Linked DNA regions of Canis lupus familiaris. The protein of the gene in region 2 interacts with the protein of the main gene of each other region in a biochemical or structural test. Links are inferred from orthologs where the notes say so. Each region holds a gene or a part of one and is shown on either strand. Other genes may lie near its edges. The genes, in order: IBTK, BTK, SH3BP5 and GTF2I.

Evidence for each region.
Region 1: the proteins of BTK (region 2) and IBTK form a complex in vitro, tested with the Homo sapiens proteins (2 studies listed by BioGRID). The link is inferred for Canis lupus familiaris from reciprocal best matches to the Homo sapiens genes BTK and IBTK.
Region 3: the proteins of BTK (region 2) and SH3BP5 form a complex in vitro, tested with the Homo sapiens proteins (2 studies listed by BioGRID, with this or other methods). The link is inferred for Canis lupus familiaris from reciprocal best matches to the Homo sapiens genes BTK and SH3BP5.
Region 4: the proteins of BTK (region 2) and GTF2I form a complex in vitro, tested with the Homo sapiens proteins (4 studies listed by BioGRID and IntAct, with this or other methods). The link is inferred for Canis lupus familiaris from reciprocal best matches to the Homo sapiens genes BTK and GTF2I.

The regions. Positions count from the first base shown.
Region 1 is NC_049233.1:42,943,942-42,948,842, forward strand, and holds part of IBTK (inhibitor of Bruton tyrosine kinase), read right to left. Parts: intron 2,881-4,901; coding exon 2,703-2,880; intron 1,485-2,702; coding exon 885-1,484; intron 1-884. UniProt on the Homo sapiens protein: Acts as an inhibitor of BTK tyrosine kinase activity, thereby playing a role in B-cell development. Down-regulates BTK kinase activity, leading to interference with BTK-mediated calcium mobilization and NF-kappa-B-driven transcription.
Region 2 is NC_049260.1:75,699,852-75,705,503, reverse strand, and holds the start of BTK (tyrosine-protein kinase BTK), read left to right. Parts: upstream 1-1,822; 5' UTR 1,823-2,286; coding exon 2,287-2,340; intron 2,341-4,680; coding exon 4,681-4,851; intron 4,852-5,376; coding exon 5,377-5,475; intron 5,476-5,652. UniProt on the Homo sapiens protein: Non-receptor tyrosine kinase indispensable for B lymphocyte development, differentiation and signaling. Binding of antigen to the B-cell antigen receptor (BCR) triggers signaling that ultimately leads to B-cell activation.
Region 3 is NC_049244.1:27,770,173-27,775,582, forward strand, and holds the start of SH3BP5 (SH3 domain-binding protein 5), read left to right. Parts: upstream 1-1,683; 5' UTR 1,684-1,698; coding exon 1,699-1,842; intron 1,843-3,594; coding exon 3,595-3,657; intron 3,658-5,410. UniProt on the Homo sapiens protein: Functions as a guanine nucleotide exchange factor (GEF) with specificity for RAB11A and RAB25. Inhibits the auto- and transphosphorylation activity of BTK. Plays a negative regulatory role in BTK-related cytoplasmic signaling in B-cells.
Region 4 is NC_049227.1:5,653,923-5,658,823, forward strand, and holds part of GTF2I (general transcription factor II-I), read right to left. Parts: intron 1,163-4,901; coding exon 1,061-1,162; intron 526-1,060; coding exon 460-525; intron 125-459; coding exon 1-124. UniProt on the Homo sapiens protein: Interacts with the basal transcription machinery by coordinating the formation of a multiprotein complex at the C-FOS promoter, and linking specific signal responsive activator complexes.

The DNA.
Region 1 (4,901 bases), on a different chromosome or scaffold from region 2:
TAACTACTAGTACCTCAATGTTGACTGGAAGCCTTCCCAATAACTTATACAGTAGACTTGTATGTTTGTAGTTTGTACATTATTTGCATTATATATTGTATTCTTACAATAGAGAAAGCTAGAGAAAAGAAATTGTTAAGACAATCCTAAGGAAAATGTCCAATATGGTTTAATGGTACCATACTGAATTTATCATAAAAAATCTGAATACAAGTGGATCTGCACAGTTCAAACCCATGTTTTTCAAGGGTCAAATGCATATTAAATATGGTTACTGACAAAAAACATACCAAAACCATAGCACAAAACCCTTCAGTGTTTTTAAATAGGAAACCTGATAAATGCTCCTTCTCTGCTCCTACCCCACACATAAGATTACACTATCACAAGCAACATACATATCTTAAAAAAAAGAATTCCAAAGAATATGGTTTATATGACAAATCTCTCTTAGGCAGTTTACACATACTGTAGGACAGAACTATACCAACAAATTGAACCACTATTATCCCTCCCTTCTAAATACTGAGAAACTGAAGTTCAAAGAAACTAACAAATCTGCCTCAGCTAGTCACTAGTAGAGCCAAAAGGCAAATAAATACAGGCCTAACTCCAGAGATAGTATTTTTTCCAGCATACCACACCGCCTACCATTCCAGATCCCTGTTACACAAACAACATAGAGTTCACACCCACTAACAGCCTCCAAAGTTTTAATCCAGGGGGTCCTACAGAGATAGCTTTAGCAGAAAATGAAGAAAGAACACATACAAAAAGGCACATGGGGGTAGAACTGAGGGACGGGAAAAGACGAGTAGCAAAGAAAAAGAATTTTTAAAAGGAGCTCATAATAAGGTTCAAGGACAGATATTAAGAAGCCATACCTACTACTCAAATTACTGAAACCAAATTTCTTTGCAACATTTTGCAACATTCTTACAGGATCATCTTCCCCAATACTTTTCCCTTTATTGGAAGCCTTTGATTTGCTTTTTTGCTTTTCATTAACTGTGTGTGCTTGATTACTTCTGTAAACTTCAAATGCTGACTTCTGATTATCTTCATGGCAATGCATTTTATTTGAATGTGAATTCATAGTGCCCTGATATTCTTCTGGCTTTTTGTTTAAGTTTATTCTTGGTGTGAAGCCATGAATTAAAAAGTCACAAGTATCTGTGTATATAAATTGTAAAAGGTACTCAAACAAGTCAGGATGAACCTTCTCTATGACAAAGAGATGGCATCCTGCAGAATCTTCATCTTTCCGGTAAACATCTATAAAATCTAAAGTAGTCCCATCTGAAAGAAACAATTTCTGAAAAAAGTCAGAACGCACTGCCAAAATATATTTATGTGCAGGGAAAATTCTATTGCCAACTTGAAATGTCACATCATGAATACTGTCCGTTTCATCTGTTTCCCTTAAGAGTTTGCCAAACTCTTCAAAAAAGGATGATGAGGATACGGCTGGAATTTCATAAAGGCTAGAAATGAAACAAAAATAATTTTTACTTTCAAGAAAATGAAAAAAAAAGCATCCCATCCCTAGCCAATTCTCCTTTTAAAGTACAATTTATTTTTTAGCTATTAAACTTCTAAAATTTTAAATCTGGCATTTCTGAAAATATAAGAATACTGCAAAGTCTTAGATACTGTATCACATTTTAAAATGTGACTCCTTTTTATATTTTTTTACTAAACTGACAAGATTCAAGTTTTCCTTCAAAAGCAGAGTTTTCTATTTCTACTAGGAAATGCTAGAATGTAAATGAGTATTTCCATAGAAATTTTTTAAATGACTATAACTAAACACAAATGACTATAAAACTAAAAATATCCAGAAAAGAGTACAGTTCTCAACCTTTTCTTTGATATCCTTTTCTTTTATCCTTTATCCTTTTAAGTGAAGAAAACCAAATATACAAAGAACTGAGCAAATACTTCAGGTCAAATCCCAGAATAGGCCAGAAATTCAGGGAGGAAAAATAAATATACACACAGATATACAATCAGTCCATAACTCTGGTTCTTTAGCGCTGTAAAAATGTTATCACACCTTCCCTATCCACATTTCACCCTTTCAGGTAGGGGAAACAATCCTCCTGGTTTGCCCTGGATTGAGTGCTTTCCCAGGAGATGAGAGTTTTGGTGCTAAATATGGGACAGGCAGGCCTAGGCAAACCAGAATGGAAGTTCACCCTACTTCCAGGACTTCTTTCCAACAGTACCCTGGACATTTATCTTAACCTGTCATCTCTCTACTAATGTAACTTAGAGAATATTTGCACTGAGATTCACACTACCCTACAGATGACTATACCACCTCTTCTTTTGTTAATTATCATATTCAAGTATTAGAGATTTTTGCAAACTGTGTAATATTTATATTTCTCAGAATTTGAGAACCCAGAGTACATCAAAAAGTAGTTATAAATTTTGTGCATGCACATATGTATTTTCAAGATTTTCAATAAATACCAGTTTACAAACTAAAAGAAATACTTATCATTCCCACTATAACAAATTCCACCTCTGAGTTTTCCAGATAACATGATTTTATGTCTAAAGCTTCTACAAGTCTTGGCAAAAGCATTTCAATTAAATTTCCTCCAGGAGCTACTGAAAAAAAAAAAAAAAAAAAAAAAAAGGAAAACTCAGTGATTATTCCTTCTAAAAATGAAATTTAATATATACAAGTGTACCTTGTTTTAGGATCTGACTGCAGGATTGCAAAGTTGCATCCACTTGGATCTGTGCTGACACTAACAGCTCTATGGGCAAAAGTAAGTTTCTCAAGTCGAATTCTTTCGTATACACTATTTATATCAGAGACACAAGACACATCTGATGAGGAATTATGAAGATTTGATAAAATCTCTGCTAAAAAGAAAAATAAACAAACTTCTATTAATGGAGGCTTTATTGAAACTATTAAAATGCTTTAGGAGAAAAGAAAATAGAAAAATAAAATATGAAAGTATCTTTCATATATAAGTCCTTTTGAAGAATTATATTCCCCCGCCCCCCAACACAATTTGCACCCTATGTATAGTATAGGTACTATAAAGGAAATTTTGTTTGGTCAATTCTCAATTACCCATGATTTTGTCCCTTTCAACAAAAACATCCTCCACATTGCACCAAAGTTAACTTTCTAAGAAGCAAATCTAGTGTTACACCACCTTCTAAAACTCCTCAGCTTGCATTAAAAATATATAAACTTAGGATCCCTATAGTTTGTTATTTGGTCCCAAATATCTGAGTGACCATACTGTGCTACTGTGATGCAGTGATCATCAATCTGTCCCTAATGATACAGTAGTGAACAAGATAGGCATGTCCCTGCCATTCTGGAGTGCACAATCTAGCAGAGAAGACAGACATTAAAACAAATGATTATATCCATTACGAGTCAAATTAAGGCTATGAAAGAAAAGTATGAAATGTGCATGCAAAGAAATTATTCTTCAGTAGGAAGAATACTGAAAGTAATTAAAAATAAAGACAGAGATCATTTAGGAAACTAATAAGAAAGAATCCAAAGAATAAATAATATACATTGAAGTTGTAGCAATAAAAGTGGAGAAAAGTGGAAAGATTTCAGAAATATTTGAGACAAAAGTGACAAAATTTAGTGACTGATCGGATATAGGGGTGGCGGGATGTGAGGTGTCAAAGACAACCATTTACTTAGATATAAAACATTAAAAAGCAAATGTGGAAGCATGAGATCATGAATTCAGATTACTAAATGTGACTAAGATACAATTCTAAGACTTCCAACATTTATATGCAGTCAAACCTGCATTTTGGTTACTCTCTCAAATTCACTCTATTTCAGTCTTACAGGCCTTTGCTAATTTTTCCCACACACTCAGTTATTGCAATTTCTACTCTCAAAAAACCTAACATATGCATATTAGCATTTGTAAACTGTAAATATTAACATGTATCTATTGTCCCTACAAACTTATGAGTGTCTGAGAACAGGGGCCCTGTTATCAACATATATGTTATCAATAAAGCATAGCTCTATATGTGACACACAGTAAATCTAATTTAAATGTTTACAGACTTACATAATCTATAAAGAAATAAAAGAAATACAACAAACCTCTAATCACTCCACTGTGTCTTTGATTTTGAAAACTATGTTTATAATTTTCTGAATTAATTATAAACATTCCTTATATGTGTCTTAGCATATTCATTCAACAGATCTTAATGAGGGACTACTATGTATCAGGAAATATGCTGAATGCCAAGGACCCAGTGCAATAGTCAAGGTCCTTGCCATCTTATAGCCTGATAGGAGACAAGCATTAAAAAAACTAATCACAAAGATAAATACAGGGATGCCTGGGTGGCTCAGTGGTTGAGCATCTGCTTTTGGCTCAGGGCGTGATTCCAGACATCAGGCTTCCTGCATGGGGCCTGCTTTTCCCTCTGCCTGCATCTCTGTCTCTGTCTCTCTCATAAATAGATAAAAACTTAAAAAAAAAAAAAAAGATAAATACATAAAAACAAGTAGAGACAAGTTGCATCATGAAAATCCAAAGGGAATATGAAAAGTGAAACAGGGTACTTCAATTTAGATTGAGGGATCTGTGAAAACATTTCTGATGAAGCATAAATGAATCTGAGATGTGAAAAATTAGAGAAAGTCCTGGGACTACTGAACAAAATTGAAAACCTGAAGATGGATGTGACTGAAGAATGATAAATGAAAGCAGTTCAGGTACACAGACAAAGGTCAGAGAAGGAGCTTTTGGGACGATGTTTAGGAAGTGAGGAAACATTAAAGAGTTTTTAAATACAGGAATATTAAAATCAGATCAAATATTAAAATAAGATCACTCTAATAGTTAAGAACAGATAAAAAGAAATAAGAGTACGAATAA
Region 2 (5,652 bases):
ATACTTACATATGCAGTAACAATATAAAAACATGCCTAGGAATGATTAACACGAAATTCAAGATATAGTTAACTTCTGAGGAAGGAGGGGATTGATTGCAGAGGAGTATACAAGGAAGTTTTGACTCTATGGTTAGTATTTTATTTCTGAAAAATGCCGGAAGCAATTATGGCACTATGTTAGAATTTTATAGAGCTAAGTGGTGAGTACCTGAGTGTAGTGTTAGTCTCTGTACTATTTGCCACACTTCATAATATAAAACAAAGTACATTTGATCAAAAATTTACATTCACACTATGCAATAACAACCCTAGGGACAGAGTTGGCAGGTGTTCCACATAAATCTCATATTTTTATCGAATCAACAATGAAAAAAAGTCCTGAAAAGAAAACAGCAAGTAACACCAGTTAGGATCTCTTTCCGAAAGACTGAAAGGAAAATGTAAGAAAATCTGGTAGGGATAAGAAGAGTCCACATATGGGAAAAAGTACAGTTGACAGTTAACAGGGATAAATCACCCTTTTTCGCTTGGAGGATTATTGCAGAGGAAAATGCTCCAGGATCCTGTACTCTCTCTTATCCCCTGAATTTACCATCATTTCCTCTTTTGTCAAATGTTCCTAGAAGATGCAGAGGATTCTGTCTCTACTGCTCTTTGATGGTAGCCATGGGGGATGACAGGTGGTGAGATGGATAGCATCAAAACTTATTGAAAGCAAAAAAAAAAAAAAATCTCTCTAGGAGGCAATGAGGTAGGTATCACAGAAACAGCAAGGGCTGTGGAGTTATGGATGAGGTTGGGCAGATCACACAACTTCCATGAATCTCACTTTCCTCACCTCTTTGTTGTAAGAAATAAATGAAATACTGAGTATAAAATGCTTGATGGGTAGACTGCACTGAGAAAAACAAGAATTTCCTTCCATTCCCCTCAGAAGAAAAGGGAATAGACAGACTTTTTTGGTACTTAAGTAATGCTTTAAATGAGAAATAGAGAATGATGTTTCTTGGATATTCTGGCTAAGTAGCTATTTGAACTATGACTGACTGGTTATTTCTAAATAGCATTTCCTGGACTCTTCCCAATCATAGGCAGGCTGTGTAGTCTTCTGAATTTTGCTCTGGTGTTTATCTTACCTTGAGCAGTGATAGGACCAAAGGTGATTTAGTTTACCAATCCTACAGGTGTTTTTCGTATCAATTCCTTGGCATAGCGCAGTTTTTAAGATGGCTGAACTCTTATTAACAAGCATCCTCTTTATGAATTCTGCTGCTCCATAGGAAGCTGGGAGGCTGCAAAAGGTGGCCACATGAAAATTCTTGCATTTGTAGTTTAAAAAGAGAACATTATAATGCTGGAATTCTGTATCTTTAAAAAGATTTTATTCATTTATTCATGAGAGACACACAGAGAGGCAGAGACATAGGCAGAAGGAGAAGCAGGCTCCCTATGGGGACCCTGATGTGGGACTTGATCCCAGGACCCTGGGATCACGACCTGAGCCAAAGGCAGATGCTCAACCACTGAGCCACCCACGTGCCCCTGGAATTCTGTATTTTAAATGAAGAACCTGTGTCTTTCTATTATTTTTCCTCCTCTTTCTTTATGTGAACATCAGTGTGTGAATGTGTGTGTGTGTTAACATTCATGTCACTTCCGGTTTCCACCCCCACCCCCACCCTCTGAGTGAAGTGGGGGGTCAGCCACATGGTGCATCTTTTGTGGTCAAATTAACTGTCAGCTGCTGAAATAGTTAGAAGAAAATTTAGAAGCTACCATAAAGAAGTTGCAACTGCCCTCTAATGCAGTGTCCATCACACACCAACCTTCAGGAAAAATGCACCTCCTTTCACATTATTGGTGGATGAATCAGTGATGACTAAGGAAGAACGACCACATTTTCAGGCTGTGTGTGTCTGGACTGGTTCACAAGGAATAAGGGGAAAGCAGTCAAAGAAGGGGCAACCAGACCTTGGAAATCCTGGGAATTCTTCAACTCCATGATCTAGTGGTAGAGGCCATTTCACCCTTTTGCTGAGAGGGGTGATGGCTAGTGAGAGGCTTACTTACTTCCTCATACTTAGACCAGCACTAAACCATAACCCAACAGACACTTGAAAGAGAGGAAGGCTTCCTCTTGTACAAACTGGATTTGTTCTAAAAGAGAAAAAGAAAGAAAAAAAAAAGAAAAAAGAAAATAAAAATAAAAGAGAAAAAGAGCAGAGGCAGTTTCCAGAAGGACCTATCTTATAGGAAGTAAGAGCAGAGGCCAAGACTGAAGCGGATGCTGGGTCAGAGCAGGGAATGCATCCATCAAGAGCTTGCAACAAAACTAAAGGTAAAATCATGGGTATGCTTTACTCAGCTAAAAGAAGCAAAACTGGATGTAGTTTGTTAGGATGCTTCTGATCCAATTTACTGGACATGCTACTTATTTTCATTAAGGCTTTATTTTATCTTGTGCAAGTTGAGTCTTTCTGATTGTGAAGAGCTATTTAATTGGAATTCACAGTGAAAAAAATGTGATCTCATTACAAGTATCTTGATGAGTTGACTGTTCTTGAGAATATAATATTACTTGGTTACCACTATTTCTGAATAAATGAATAATTTTAATGTTGACAGAAATCTCTGTGGGGTTTGAGCATTAGAAAGTACTCTGGTTGTAAAGTCTTATCAGTTTGTCACTCCTGTAGAGACCATTTAAACCAGGTAGTCAGGGAACCTGTGTGACCAGGTGTGGGGAAAAAGTTTGCTCCTTGTCTAATTTTTCTCAAAAGATCATTTATAAACCATTGAATTAATCCACCACCAGAAGACAGTAGCATCGACATGGTGAATAAGTGGCAAAGTGATTATTTTGAACATCCCTGGTGTTCCTTTAACCTATTTTTAATGTCTCCCCAGTATGATAATAGAACCTTCTACACCACAGGAAAGAGCAAAATAACGGTGCGGATAGCCTCAGACTTTGATAAAAACTGCTCCCTTGTTTCCTTGGTGTGAGCAATAATCTGTGTTTGGCAGGTAGAAAAAAAATGCTGACATTATTTATTCTGCATAGACAGATAAAGGATAAGGAGTTTAGTTATAAAAAATGTCATCCCTCCTTAAGAAAAAAACCCCACGCAGCCGGGGTGGCTCAGCTGTTTAGCGCCGCCTTCAGCCCAGGGCGCGATCCTGGAGACGGGATCAGGATCGAATCCCACATCCGGCTCCCTGCATGGAGCCTGCTTCTCCCCCTGCCTGTGTCTCTGCCTCTCTCTCTCTCTCTCTCTCTTTCTCTCTGTCTTTCATGAATAAATGAGTAAAATCTTTAAAAAAGAAAAGAACCCCACTTATAACAAAATTTGAGGGAAGCTGGTGATCTGTTTCAGTACTTATTTTGTACTGATTAAGTGCCCCATTTTGTGATAGTATTTATATTTTCACTTAATCTTTCTAAGGAAGGTTTGGAATTATGCATAGACTTTAAATGAATATGCAATTGTGTGTAAACAGTAAGTGAATAACTAATATGAAGCATGTTTTGTATGAATGAAAAAAACCAATGGTGATTTCTTTTGTAACTTTCTTTGCATTTTTGCACTTCAGCTACCTAAACTGAATCTTTCCTAGAGTATTCTAAGTTTGGAGAGAGTAAACAAATTACTTTTCGTAAATAACCAGAGATGGCACCCATAAGAGTAGACAGTTGCATCACTTTGGTAAGACAGTGTCTAAAAGAACCAATCTAAGAAAAGGAGGGGGAGGGCAGCCCGGGTGGCTCAGCGGTTTAGCGCCGCCTTCAGCCCAGGGTGTGATCCTAGAGACCGGGGATCGAGTCCCAGGTCGGGCTCCCTGCATGGAGCCTGCTTCTCTCTCTCCCTCTGCCTGTGTCTCTTGTTCTCTCTGTGTGTCTCTCATGAATAAATAAATAAAGTCTTTAAAAATATAAAAAGGAGGGGGAAACACAAACCAAAACACGCACACACAAAAAAACTAAAACACACACACACACACACAAACCAAAGACAAAACAAAAGGAACTCCCTCCCCCAAAATTATTTTTCAATTTTAGAACAAAGCTTCTACCCTTTGTAGCTGAGCTAGTGGTTGATGGGCAAAATCAGTTGGGCAGCAGTTAGTATATGTCCATACCTGCAGGTGCAGCCTCCATATCCTTATTATATGCCTTGTTTACAGACCCCAGTGGGACAATGTTTGAAAAAATTGCATTCACTGTCTAGGAAACTGGGAACTGAAAGTCCAATATCTGCCTCAGTGAAGTTTTGGCACCTGCATTATCCCTTCTGGGGATATCAGTGTCAACAGCTGCACAGAGACTGTTGCTGTTCACAGATTCTGCACGTATCACAAAAGGGTGGTTAGTATAAAGTGGCCTCTAGACATTACTAAGCACACAGGTACATGTCATTTGACATTCAGAGCATTCCATTGCCTTATACAAAAACCCAGTGTATGTGAGCTCATGCCGAATCTGTCCTTCCAATTCACCATTACACCTGAAAACTGACAGAGACGGAAGCTATGGAAGGAGGATGTCAAGGCAGGAAGAAGGCTCTTTATTAGCTTTGCATGATTCTGTTCCATTTGAAACTAGGTGGTCAGGTTGAGAGGGAACCAGGAGGGATAAGGAATAATGTGCTGGGTCCTCAAGAACTTTCATTATCAACAGCACACAAGTGAGCTCCAGAAAGAAGAAGCTATGGCTGCAGTGATACTGGAGAGCATCTTTCTGAAGCGATCTCAACAGAAAAAGAAAACATCACCTTTAAACTTCAAGAAGCGCCTCTTTCTCTTAACTATGCACAAACTTTCCTACTATGAGTATGACTTTGAACGTGGGGTAAGTTTTTCTGCTGTGAAACCTGAATATCAAGGACTTAGCCTTAGATCTTCCTTGAGGACTAGATATTTTTGGTTGGAGGAGGGAGGTGGTAGGGATCGAGGTATATTTCAAACTCAGAAAAATGTTTCTTAGCCTAGAACTAACTACAGCCATGTTGGCACAAAAAATTCAAAGGTGCTAAGAAGCCATGGGGGCAATCTTACCATGGAATCTTGCAACTGATCATTCATTAAGTGCTGTTGAGAATGAAATCCACGTCTTGAAAATTATTCTTCATTTTTTATGGTAAAGGCACACACAGTCATCCACTCTTCTATAGTATTTGCCCTCTGATAGTCAAAAAAGTTTAGATTAATAGATCTGGAAGTTTTGTTGTATTTTTTTTTTCAAAATGACAGGTTCTGATGAATAGAACGTGGGTGTCACCTCACTATGTTGAATGATTAGATAACAAAATCTAATCATCTGGTTGCTTAATCATTCCTAATCTTTCTCCATTTTGTTCCTCATTCTCTTTCTCAGAGAAGAGGCAGTAAGAAGGGTTCAATAGATGTTGAGAAGATCACCTGCGTTGAAACAGTGGTTCCTGAAAAAAATCCTCCCCCTGAAAGACAGATTCCAGTAAGTAGAGACCATTGTCAGAGCAGGAATGGGGTGGTTAAGAAACTTGGAACACTTCAACTCTCTATAAATAAACTGGTGATGCAATGTGGTAGAGTTCCCTTACAAAATTATTCACTCTGGAACATATGGGTTATACTGAATCTCAGCATTTTCCCCCCAGATGCAGAACTCACT
Region 3 (5,410 bases), on a different chromosome or scaffold from region 2:
GGATAAAACCTGCCCCGGTACCGGCTCCGTTCTGCGCCACTGGGGAAACTGGTGGAAAAGCAAAAGCAACTCGGTGTTTTGCAAAACCTTTCAGGACATCTCTGAGAACTGTTGGCTCTCCCTTGATTTTAGAACAACGACCAGGTGTGACTGTTTCAGAACCAAACCGAATGTGTACGCCTGTATTACCTCCAGGAGACAGAACAAATCTCTTTTCACAGTGGACCTCGGTGCCAGCATGTGCAGGATGGTACCTTGCCCAAGGAATAATACCACCCCCCTCCCCTTCTCTGCTCTGCAATGTAGCTTCTGATGAAGCCATTAGAAGGTTTCCCAAAGGTGGCTTTATTTTTTTTTTAACTTATAAAGATTTTATTTATTCATGAAACAGAGAGAGAGGGGCAGAGACATAGGCAGAAGGAGAAGCAGGCTCCCGCTGGGGAGCCCAATGTGGGACTTGATCTCAGGATCCCAGGATCGTGCCCTGAGCAGAGGGGCAGAGGCTCAACCACTGAGCCACCGGTGTTCCCCAGGTGGCTTTAAAGATAGGCTCTCAGCCTCTGTCTCAAGCAAGTTTGCTCTTCAAACTCCCAGAGCTAATGGGCCACAAGCCTCTATGTAAAGGGTGCACACATTCTGCATTTTTGTAGTGGAGATATTAGCAGTGGCCAGGGGCAACGTCCTTGCCTGCTTTGCTAAGGTCAACTGAATTTGTGCTCCCTTGACATCACAGTGGCCCTGACAGTTCATAAAAGCACACACCTGCCATTCCTTCTTTGGGCCCATGCTGTTGAGCGTGCCAGGCAAGCGCTGGCTCCCTATTCTTTCAGGAAGGCAGGAAAATCTCGCCGTTCATAAATGTTTGGACAGAGCCTGCCCATGACACAGGGGTTACACCTGCTGCCGCCTGGAGAAGGCTGGACCTACCCAGCCCGACATCCCTGACGACCGATGCATTTTCCACGCTTCTTGGCTATTCAGGTAGGACCACCCCACGACCAGGAGGGCACAGGCTTTGGGCATGGCTTGACTGAGGAATCCAGGCACGAAGCTGCGCCCAGCTCCCCTCCTCGTGCTTCTGTGGCGTGTGAGCACATGTTTCAGTTCCCGTTCTGGGGGAAACTCTTCCAAGTAGGCTCCAATTCCCGAGGTTCAGCCAAGGGGGTGACCGTGCTGTGGAGGCACACAGGGATTTGAGGGAGCCTTGAAGCTGGTGCAGGGTCACCGAATACAGGCTTCCCAAGGGGACTTCAGACCGTGGAAGATACCCCAAACTTTGCTCCGAGCAGTCGATTTGCTCCGGCCGAGCAGGGAGGGAGAGAGGTGCCCCCAAAGCAGGCGGCCAGTGCGGGCAGCCCCGGCCACAGCGCCCAGCGCGCCGAGGGGTGCGGGGGCCGCGGGATTTGTGACGGCGCCGGGGCGGCCCGGGTGGGAGCCGGGGGCGGGGGCGGCCGCGGCGGGGCGGGGCGGGCGGGGCGGGGGCGGGGGCGGCGCTGCGCTGCGGGCCGCGGCAGGAAGGGGGCGGCCGCGCGCTCTCGCTCGGCTCCGCCTGGGCCCGCGGGCTCCGCGTCGGCAGCGGCGCTCCGGACCGCGCGGGGCTGGGGCGAGGCGGCTCCGGCCGAGCCTGCGGCTGCCCGCCCCCCCCCCCCCCCCCGGCGCTCCGGGGTCCTCCGCGCGGTTCGCCTCCCCGCTGCCCGCATGGACGCGGCGCTGAAGCGGAGCCGCTCCGAGGAGCCGGCGGACCTCCCGCCGCCGTCGGCCCGGGACTTGGAGGAGGAGGAGGAGGAGGAGGGGATGGAGCCGGCGCTGGAGGAGGAGGAAGAGGTGGACCCCCGCATCCAGGTGGGGCGCGCGGGGGGCGCCGCGCACCTCAGACCCCGCCTGCGCTCCGGGCCCGAGGACCCGGTTTTGCGGGGCTTGTGGGAGGCTGCGGCGCCCGCGTGGATGCGGCCGGACTGTGCCGCGGGGGCTCCCGCAGACCCCGCAGACCCCGCAGGGTGGGGGTCGCCGCGGCCGGCCCGGCGGCTCGGGCCGATGTGCAACAAAGGGAAAAGGGGGGCGGGGGCGGGGCGGGGCGCCGTGCGGGGGTCGGGGTCCCCCGCCGGGCAGGCGGCGCGGAGGGGGCGGGGGCGGGGGCGGGCGTCGTCCCCCCGCCGCGGGCCGCCCCGAGCCCCGGCCGCGAGCCCTCACCTGGCGGCGCCCGAGCCGCCCCCTCCGCCGGCTCATTGTCGCCGCGGGCTCGGACCTCCGCTTGGCCTCCAGGGCTGAGAGCCCCGCTCGTGGTCGTTAGGAGGTCGGGGTGTGAGCAGAAGCCGGGGACGGGGGATGCGCAGGGCTCCCGCGGGGAGGAGGCGGGGGGGGGGGGGCCTGGCTTTCTGTGCCTCCATTTCTGAGGGAGAGGATTAAAAAACAATTTCTGAGCCAAGATGTAAGAGTGACAGCTTCACCTCCTCACCCTCCAGGCGAAGAGCACAGCACATCCCTTTCCAAGACCCGTTTTTCTACCCTTTCCATAAATCATTTAGTATAAACCTATATATACACTAAATGCAATATATATATATTGCTAGTATATACGTATATACTATATGCAATATATATATTGCACATATATCGATATATTGCAACATATATAGCAATATGTATGTATAGTCAATATATATCAATATGTATATATTGCAATATATATATATATAGCAATATATATATTGCTTTTAATCGTGCTCTGCGATTTCTGGAGCCCTAATGGGTTTTTCAGCGCGCGGATCAATTAAAAGCCCATTTAACTCAGCTGTTGCCATTTAAATGAATTGTTTTGGCAGATTAGCAAGATAAAGATCAGGTGGGGAAAAAAAAAATCTTTGCATGAGGAATTCTACTAATTAAAATCACTAGTTTAGGCTACTGAATCTTGTTTTCCCGGTAGGGGAATTCTGTTTGGGAGATCCTTTGTTTGCAGAGTAAAAGGAGTTAACTTCTTCGCTGGGTACTTTTTTTTTTTTTTTTTTTTTTTTTTTTTTTTTACAAAAATGTCAGTTTATAAATGTTTATCTGAAGGATCGGGATGAAAGCTAGTTTTTGTTTCGTTAAAAACAGCGAGGCAGGTTTAAAGATTGCCGGTTTGCAAGGAAAAGATTTTCAGTTCTAGAAAAATACTCAACCACTAATGAGTTAATGCCAGAATTCTGCCCTTGATTTAAATCATTTCCCTGAGTTTATAGTTTCGGCTTGCCTTTTGTTTATTTCATCGTCTTTTCTGCAAAGTTCTTTCTGTGAGGCAGGAGGTACTGTTTGGATTCCTAAACCATTTGTAACAGGTGGGTTTACCTGAAGGCACATACCTGGAAAACAGTTGACCTTCTAAGAAAAAAATCCCTAGGACCTTCAGACATTTTTGAAAGAAAAAGGCCTCAGAAATAACTGACATTCATTTGTTCTTCAAGCCAGGGCTCCACTGTTTTCCTTGAGAATTAATACTGACTCATCCCCCTTCCTCCAAATTGTGCTAGAGTACTTTTGCGGAGAATGAGCTCAGTCACACTGGAAACAAAAGACAATTCCTTTACATCTTTCTTCCCTCTCTCTCTTCACTAGGGAGAACTGGAGAAGTTAAACCAATCCACGGATGACATCAACAGACGGGAGACGGAACTCGAGGTACAGAAGGCTGGGTCCTTGTTTCTGGTGAGGTGGTGTCAGTCCTGCTGACACCAGCCTGCTTGATCTTGTTTTAATAGCTGGAGGATGATTGCTGGCGTCCCCTCCGCAGAGTTGAGCAACCGCCCGCCCGACAGAATAAAATGCACTGCTGAGCCCAGCGTGTGGGTGGAACACATGTGGATCCTATTTCACATGGTTTTCATCATGGGAGCTCCGTGGGGCCAAACCCAAGGGCTGTGTGGGGCACTGAAGTTCATGTGTCTGTGGAAAAGCATGAAAGGATTGAGGGGAGAATTACCTGCACTCTACAATGGATAAGAAAGAATGAGTTGACAAAGTCTTTCTGATATTTCAGGGTGATTCCTTACATTTGTACCTGGAAACATTATGTATTTCCTTAGACTTCTACTTTTTTTTTTTTTTTTGACTTTTTGTCCTAAAAATCTCACCCCTCTTCCACTTCCCTGCTCATTTCCTTGTTGTCTGTTTGCGTGTAGAATATAATGATCTTCATGGTAGCAAAAAGCTGTCTGGACTGCAAGGGCTTTCCTGCTGGGAAGAATCTTGGGGGATACTAGAACTTGATTTGAATTTCATGAGCATCTTCCAACGTGAGTGTAAACAGATGAGCAGTCTTCACAGCTACCCGTCAGCCCCCACTCTGCTGTAGTAGTGGTTGGTTTTACCATCCATCAGCAAATTTGAACAAACCCCGCATGGATCTGAGAGCCTGTGAATGAATCTATCAGAGAATTGAAGGGATGCAGGGAGCTGTTGGAGGGCCTGTTTCTGTTGCAGGAGAAATAGTAGGGAAGGTCACTGAAAAGGGCAGGAAACATCTGGTCCCTAAGAATGAGGGTGTGGGAGATAGGAATAATCTACCGGGAATACACTGGCAGCCTTGATTTCTGACTACATGGCTAGGCCCTGGAGGCACCAGATCTGGGCATTGCAAAAAAGGGGATTAAAAGTCTGTTTTCTGAGTTGTGTGTGAAGGATGATCACTGACGCCTCTGTTCTGATTGTATGTATCCATGAACACTGAGGCTGCCCTTCTCCCCCTGGTAAAGTAAAATATACATGTTTGTTTTAGATTTTATTTATTAGCATAAGCAAGGGAGGAGAGGGAGAAGCAGGTTCCCGCCTGAGCAGAGACCCCGACTCAGGGTTCAATCCCAGGCCCCTGGGATCCGTGACTTGAGCCAAAGGCAGATGGGTAACTGACTGAGCCACCCAGGTGCCCCAAATCTGCATGTTTATTTAATTTTTTTTTTTGACTTCTGATGAATCAAGTCTCTTTGGGCAATTGAAATCTCTCAGAATCTCACATTTCTAATATATTAAACAACAGAAACTACCATTTCTAGAGAACTTTAGAGTTTGCAGAGGTTTTTTTACAATTTTTTTTTTTTTTTAAGATTTTATTTATTCATGAGAGCCAGAGAGGCAGAGACACAGGGAGAAGCAGGCTCCATGAAGGGAGCCCGATGTGGGACTCGATCCCGGGACTCCAGGATCACACCCCAAGCTGAACGCAGATGCTCAACTGCTGAGCCACCCAGGCATCCCTTTTTACAAGCTTTATCTCCTGTCACGGCAACCTAGAACTGTGCTATCCAATATGGTAGCCACTAGCCATGTGTGGCTAATTTACCTTTAAATTAATTGAAATAAGATTGGAAGTTCAGTAGCCACATTTCAGGAGCCCAGGGGCCATCGTTTGGACAGAACAGAGACTAGTTCCATCATT
Region 4 (4,901 bases), on a different chromosome or scaffold from region 2:
CCAAAAGTGGACGGCCGCCGGAATGGCACACCCTCAGGCAGGCCCTCCACATAGAAGTCTTCTGGGAAAGATTCAAATAATGCAAACGGCACTTTTACAGCTTGCTTAAGGCCAAGAGCTTCGCCTGTAAAACACAGAGTTTCTTTTATTTCTCACATTCATCACTTTTCAAAACTCAAACTTTTTTTAAAAATGCATTTTAAATTACATTTTGTAGCTACTAAAATTATATATATATATATATATATATTTAAAGATCATACTACTTTCAATCTTAGAAAAATTTGTTCATTTTGCAGGCTCAGAAAAGTGGGAGAAATGATGGCATTCACGCTTGCAAAATGCATGCACTTCCAATGACCGTAAAATTTAAATGCTAAACATTTTATTCTGTGCACATTCTTCTACTGAAAAAAGGCCACCATATATTTTAGCACTAACATTTCAAAATAAGCTTACCGCATTTTTCATTGAAAAGATTTTCAACTTTCTGTTTTAGGTCTGTGATTTTGGCATTCCAGGCTTCTGCAAGTGAAAAATGAGACCATTACTAGCAATACTTAGCAAAATACATCTATGCTCAGCATTCTTATTTTATTGTACATTTTTAACAAGCACAAAAAAAAAAATACACAGGTTTTTAGCATAGTCATATCTTGGCAACTACTCTAATCCGACATTATTAAACTGTTTTATCATATTACTAATACATTGGCCACAAATAAATGACATAGGCTAAAATTAAAAATAAATGAAAACCAAGAAACCTCCCACCAAAACAATGATAGCATCTACTATGCGCCAGGTATGGTTCTACCCTTTAAATAACTTAGTACTTAGAATTCTCATTAATAACCCCATGAGGCAGAAGTAATATCCCCATTTTACACATCCAGAGACTGAGGCACAGAGGGGTTAAGTAGCTATTATAGTGCCTTTAATAGCTCATATATACTGACTTACCAGATAAAAAAAAAATTCACCTAGAAAAATAACATGTTTGTATTGGTTCCTTTTATTTCAAATGGATGAAATTAAGAAAAATAAAATTTATATGTACCAAAGGAAAATTCTCTCCCTCGAGGCTTGAAGGGAACATTAGAACCATTAGTCTGGGTAGGGGTTCGAACCGCGGAGGTTTGAGGGTTGTTGTTATTAGGGCCTAAAGAAAAATTAAAAGAAAAAAAATCAATCAATACACATATTTCATCATGTTTAAGTACTGCTTGTGATTCCCCTTAAAAACCAAATCAAGTTCAAACAGGACACAGGCACTGAGCAATGCAAATGGACACGCAGGCCCCAGGCCACATCCACCCATTCTTCTACTTTCATCCTTATATTCAGCCATTTTTATCCAGACAGAATTAGCTTTCCAGAAGATCTGAGGTATTTTCGACTCACTGAATGCTTCGTTCGAGCCCTTTTGGAGCCATCTAATTTTGGGGTAGCTATGTCTGCTTATGTGTTTTCCTTTCAACCCTTGATCATAATCACAATGTCAGGTACGGTTATCCTATCTCTACTAAGAAATCTTCCTTTAGATTCTCTAGCTGACTCTGGACACATCCTTCCTTTGAGGGGAAAAAAAAAAAAGATGCTTAGATGCTTATTTATTTAACAGATGGGGAGGGGCAGAGAGAGAGGGAGAAGCAGATTTCTCACTGAGCAGGAAGCCTGAAAGGGGGGCTTGATCCCAGGACCCTGAGATCATGACCTGAGCCAAACTCAGAAGCTTAACCCACTGACCTACCCAGGTGCCTCTTTCCTTTGAATTCTTAGTATAATTTAGAAACAGTGTTCTAGGAAACCAGTTGTTTTTCCATTGAATGAAGAGGACTGTTTAGGTGATTCTGATAAATCCCTGACCCTGATTCTTCTTTATGTAGGGTCACCTAATTATTAAATAGTTTATTTTAATCTGTAGCCAACCAGCAATATTTAAAAACAAAATAGTCAAAATAATGGGAAAATTTTTTAAAAATTAAGTTTCCTCAGATTTTCTTTAGAAAATAACCAACATTCTAAAGATACATCTTCAAACTCCGATTTCCTAGTTTGTAGAATATACGTATGGACTCTGGGCTTTCTGGGCTTTTCTGGGCTCAGCAGGTTAAGCGTCTGACTCTTGATTTCGGCTCAGGTCATGATCTCAGAGTCCTGGGATGGAGACCTGCACTCAGCAGGGAGTCTGCTGGAGATTCTCTCTCCTTCTGTCCCTCTTCCACCAAGTACACCCGTACTTTCTCTCAAATAAATACAATTAAAAAAAAAAAAAAACACTGAGCTTTCACCTAAACTATTTTCCTACTGAGTTACCTACTTCCTATTCTTATCTCCAATGTTTGCAACAACACTACCAACAGTGAAAGGTGCATATGGTCACTGCCCCAAGCATGTTGTGTGTTCACTAATTTAGTTTTCACAGGTAACATTACCACATCCAATGTACCCATGGAGACACTGAGTCCTGGGGACTACGTAACTTGCTGGTGACCACACAGTAGGTGCTGGGGCTGAGATACCAGCCATCGGAGTCTGGTTCCTTGGTCTTCACCACTATACACTACACACTACACACTATAGTCTCTGATGTACTTGTGGACAAGACCTTGAATGTCAGCAAGGGAAAACCTCAGTATGTGTGTGGCCATCCCCATCTTCTGAACTTAGCCTGGATATGGCCTTAGGATCCTCACCAGTATTAGAGGTGTTGGTGGGAATGGAGGATTCAATATGAAATGTATCTGTCATCCTCCATTAAATGTCAAGGGATGTCTGCGTGGCTCAGTTGGTTAAGTGTCCAACTCCTGATTTTCAGCTCAGGTCATGATCTCAGGAATGTGAGACTGAGCCCCGTTTCTGGCTCCCATTCAGCACAGGGTCTGCTTGTCTTCCTCTCTCTGCACCTGCCCCCATTCGCATATATGCTCTCTTTCTCTCTCTAAAACAAATACATAAGGTCTTTTTAAAAAAATTTTATTTATTTATTATAGTCACAGAGAGAGAGAGAGAGAGAGAGAGAGAGAGGCAGAGACATAGGCAGAGGGAGAAGCAGGCTCCATGCACCGGCAGCCCGACGTGGGATTCGATCCCGGGTCTCCAGGATCATGCCTTGGGCCAAAGGCAGGCGCCAAACTGCTGCGCCACCCAGGGATCCCCATAAGGTCTTTAAAAAATAAAATAAATACAATAAAATGTCCAGACCCAACATTCTACTCTTTAATTATTTAAAAACTCCTGAATAAAAATGCTAGCTTCCTTAAGATGGTATAGCAATGAAAGCAAAGTGTATGTGGGCTAGCTGGTTCTAGCAGCCTGTGCCAGCTGGCAGGTACAACCATGGAGAGGCCATCAGTCCCTCCCATCACCACAGCCCTGCAAGAGGCCACTAAGGCACCCAGCTCACAACTCTGCTTGTGTCAATGCTCGTAAACCAAGCCTTTGACAGTAACAGAGCAAGAGAGAAAGGAGTCTGGGAGCAACAGACCAAATGGAGTTGATTGAACTATCTAGTTCTTATCATTCTTCATTAATGAAGCAACATTCAGGTTGATAGTTAAATGAAATACCACCACACACCCTCTGGAAAAGCTTAATTTAAAACAATGACAATGCCGAATCCCGAGAGGACGAGTGGAAGCTGGAACACATACATGCCTGGCAGGAGTGTAAAATGGCAAAACCACCTCGGAAAACTGTTCAGTACTTTTGCAGAACATTAACAGCTCCATGATTCTGCTCCTAAATATCTCAAGAGGAGGAGAACATATGCCGCACTTTGTACACACATGTTCACAGTGTCGTTTTTAGACAAGGCTGGAAACAAAACCAAATGTCCGCTGACAAATGTATAAACAAAATGTGGTGAATCCACATCATGGTGGAATACTCAGCAATAAAAAGGGGATAGTGAAATATGCCCCAAGTGTAAATCAAAAAGCATTGAGAAAAAGAAGCCAGCCGTAAAAAGAATAGATACAGTAGGACTCCATTTATATGAAGTTTCAGAAGAAGCAGAAGCATTCCATAGTGACAAAAAGCAGACCAGTGGTTGCCTGTGGGCCCGACTGGGAGGGACTGGCTACTGAGGGCACCAGGGAGCAAGTCAGAGTGATGGAAATGTTCAAAAAATTGAGTGAAGTGGTGGCACAAACATTTCTCAAAACCTAAACCATACAATCACAATGAGTACATTCTACCATGTATAAATCATATGTAAAAAATTTACTTTTTAAAAGTAAAACAATTCCATACAAGCATGACATATAATTTAAAAACAGTATTAGTATAGTGCAAACAAAATACCTCCCCTCTTCATTAAATGGTCAAAAAGTTCCTGGATATGGACACAGCTTTTACTCCATACATCACCTTAAAATACTAACAACTGTTTAGTGGTATTTCAATGACTATTACTTACGTTTAGAGTCCATTTATAGCCTTGTTAAGCAACAAAAAGCTATCATGGGACAAGGGCCTCTACAGCATGGGGAACGTAATATAAACCTATTCTCTGTTCATCTCAAGTCAGGTCAAAACCGTTTTTCACCAAGCCATCACTGATCTTAAGCCCTTTCCTTTTGAATTAGAAACACTGGGTTTCTAAACTAGTATAATAAATGGGTTTATTACCCAATATAAAGGGCATTCCTATCTTGTTTCCCTTGCTGAAACTACTGCAAAGCAAGAAAAGTATTAGCAATTACACGGGACCATCCCAGTTAATACATTTATTTGTACTTAATAAACCCTCAAAAAATAAAGATTAAAAACTTATGTCCATACAAATGTTCATAGAAGCATTGTTCATAATACCCCCAAATCAGAAATGTCCCCAATGTCTACATGATAAATGGATAAACAAAATGTGGTACATTCACATGATGTAATGTAATTCA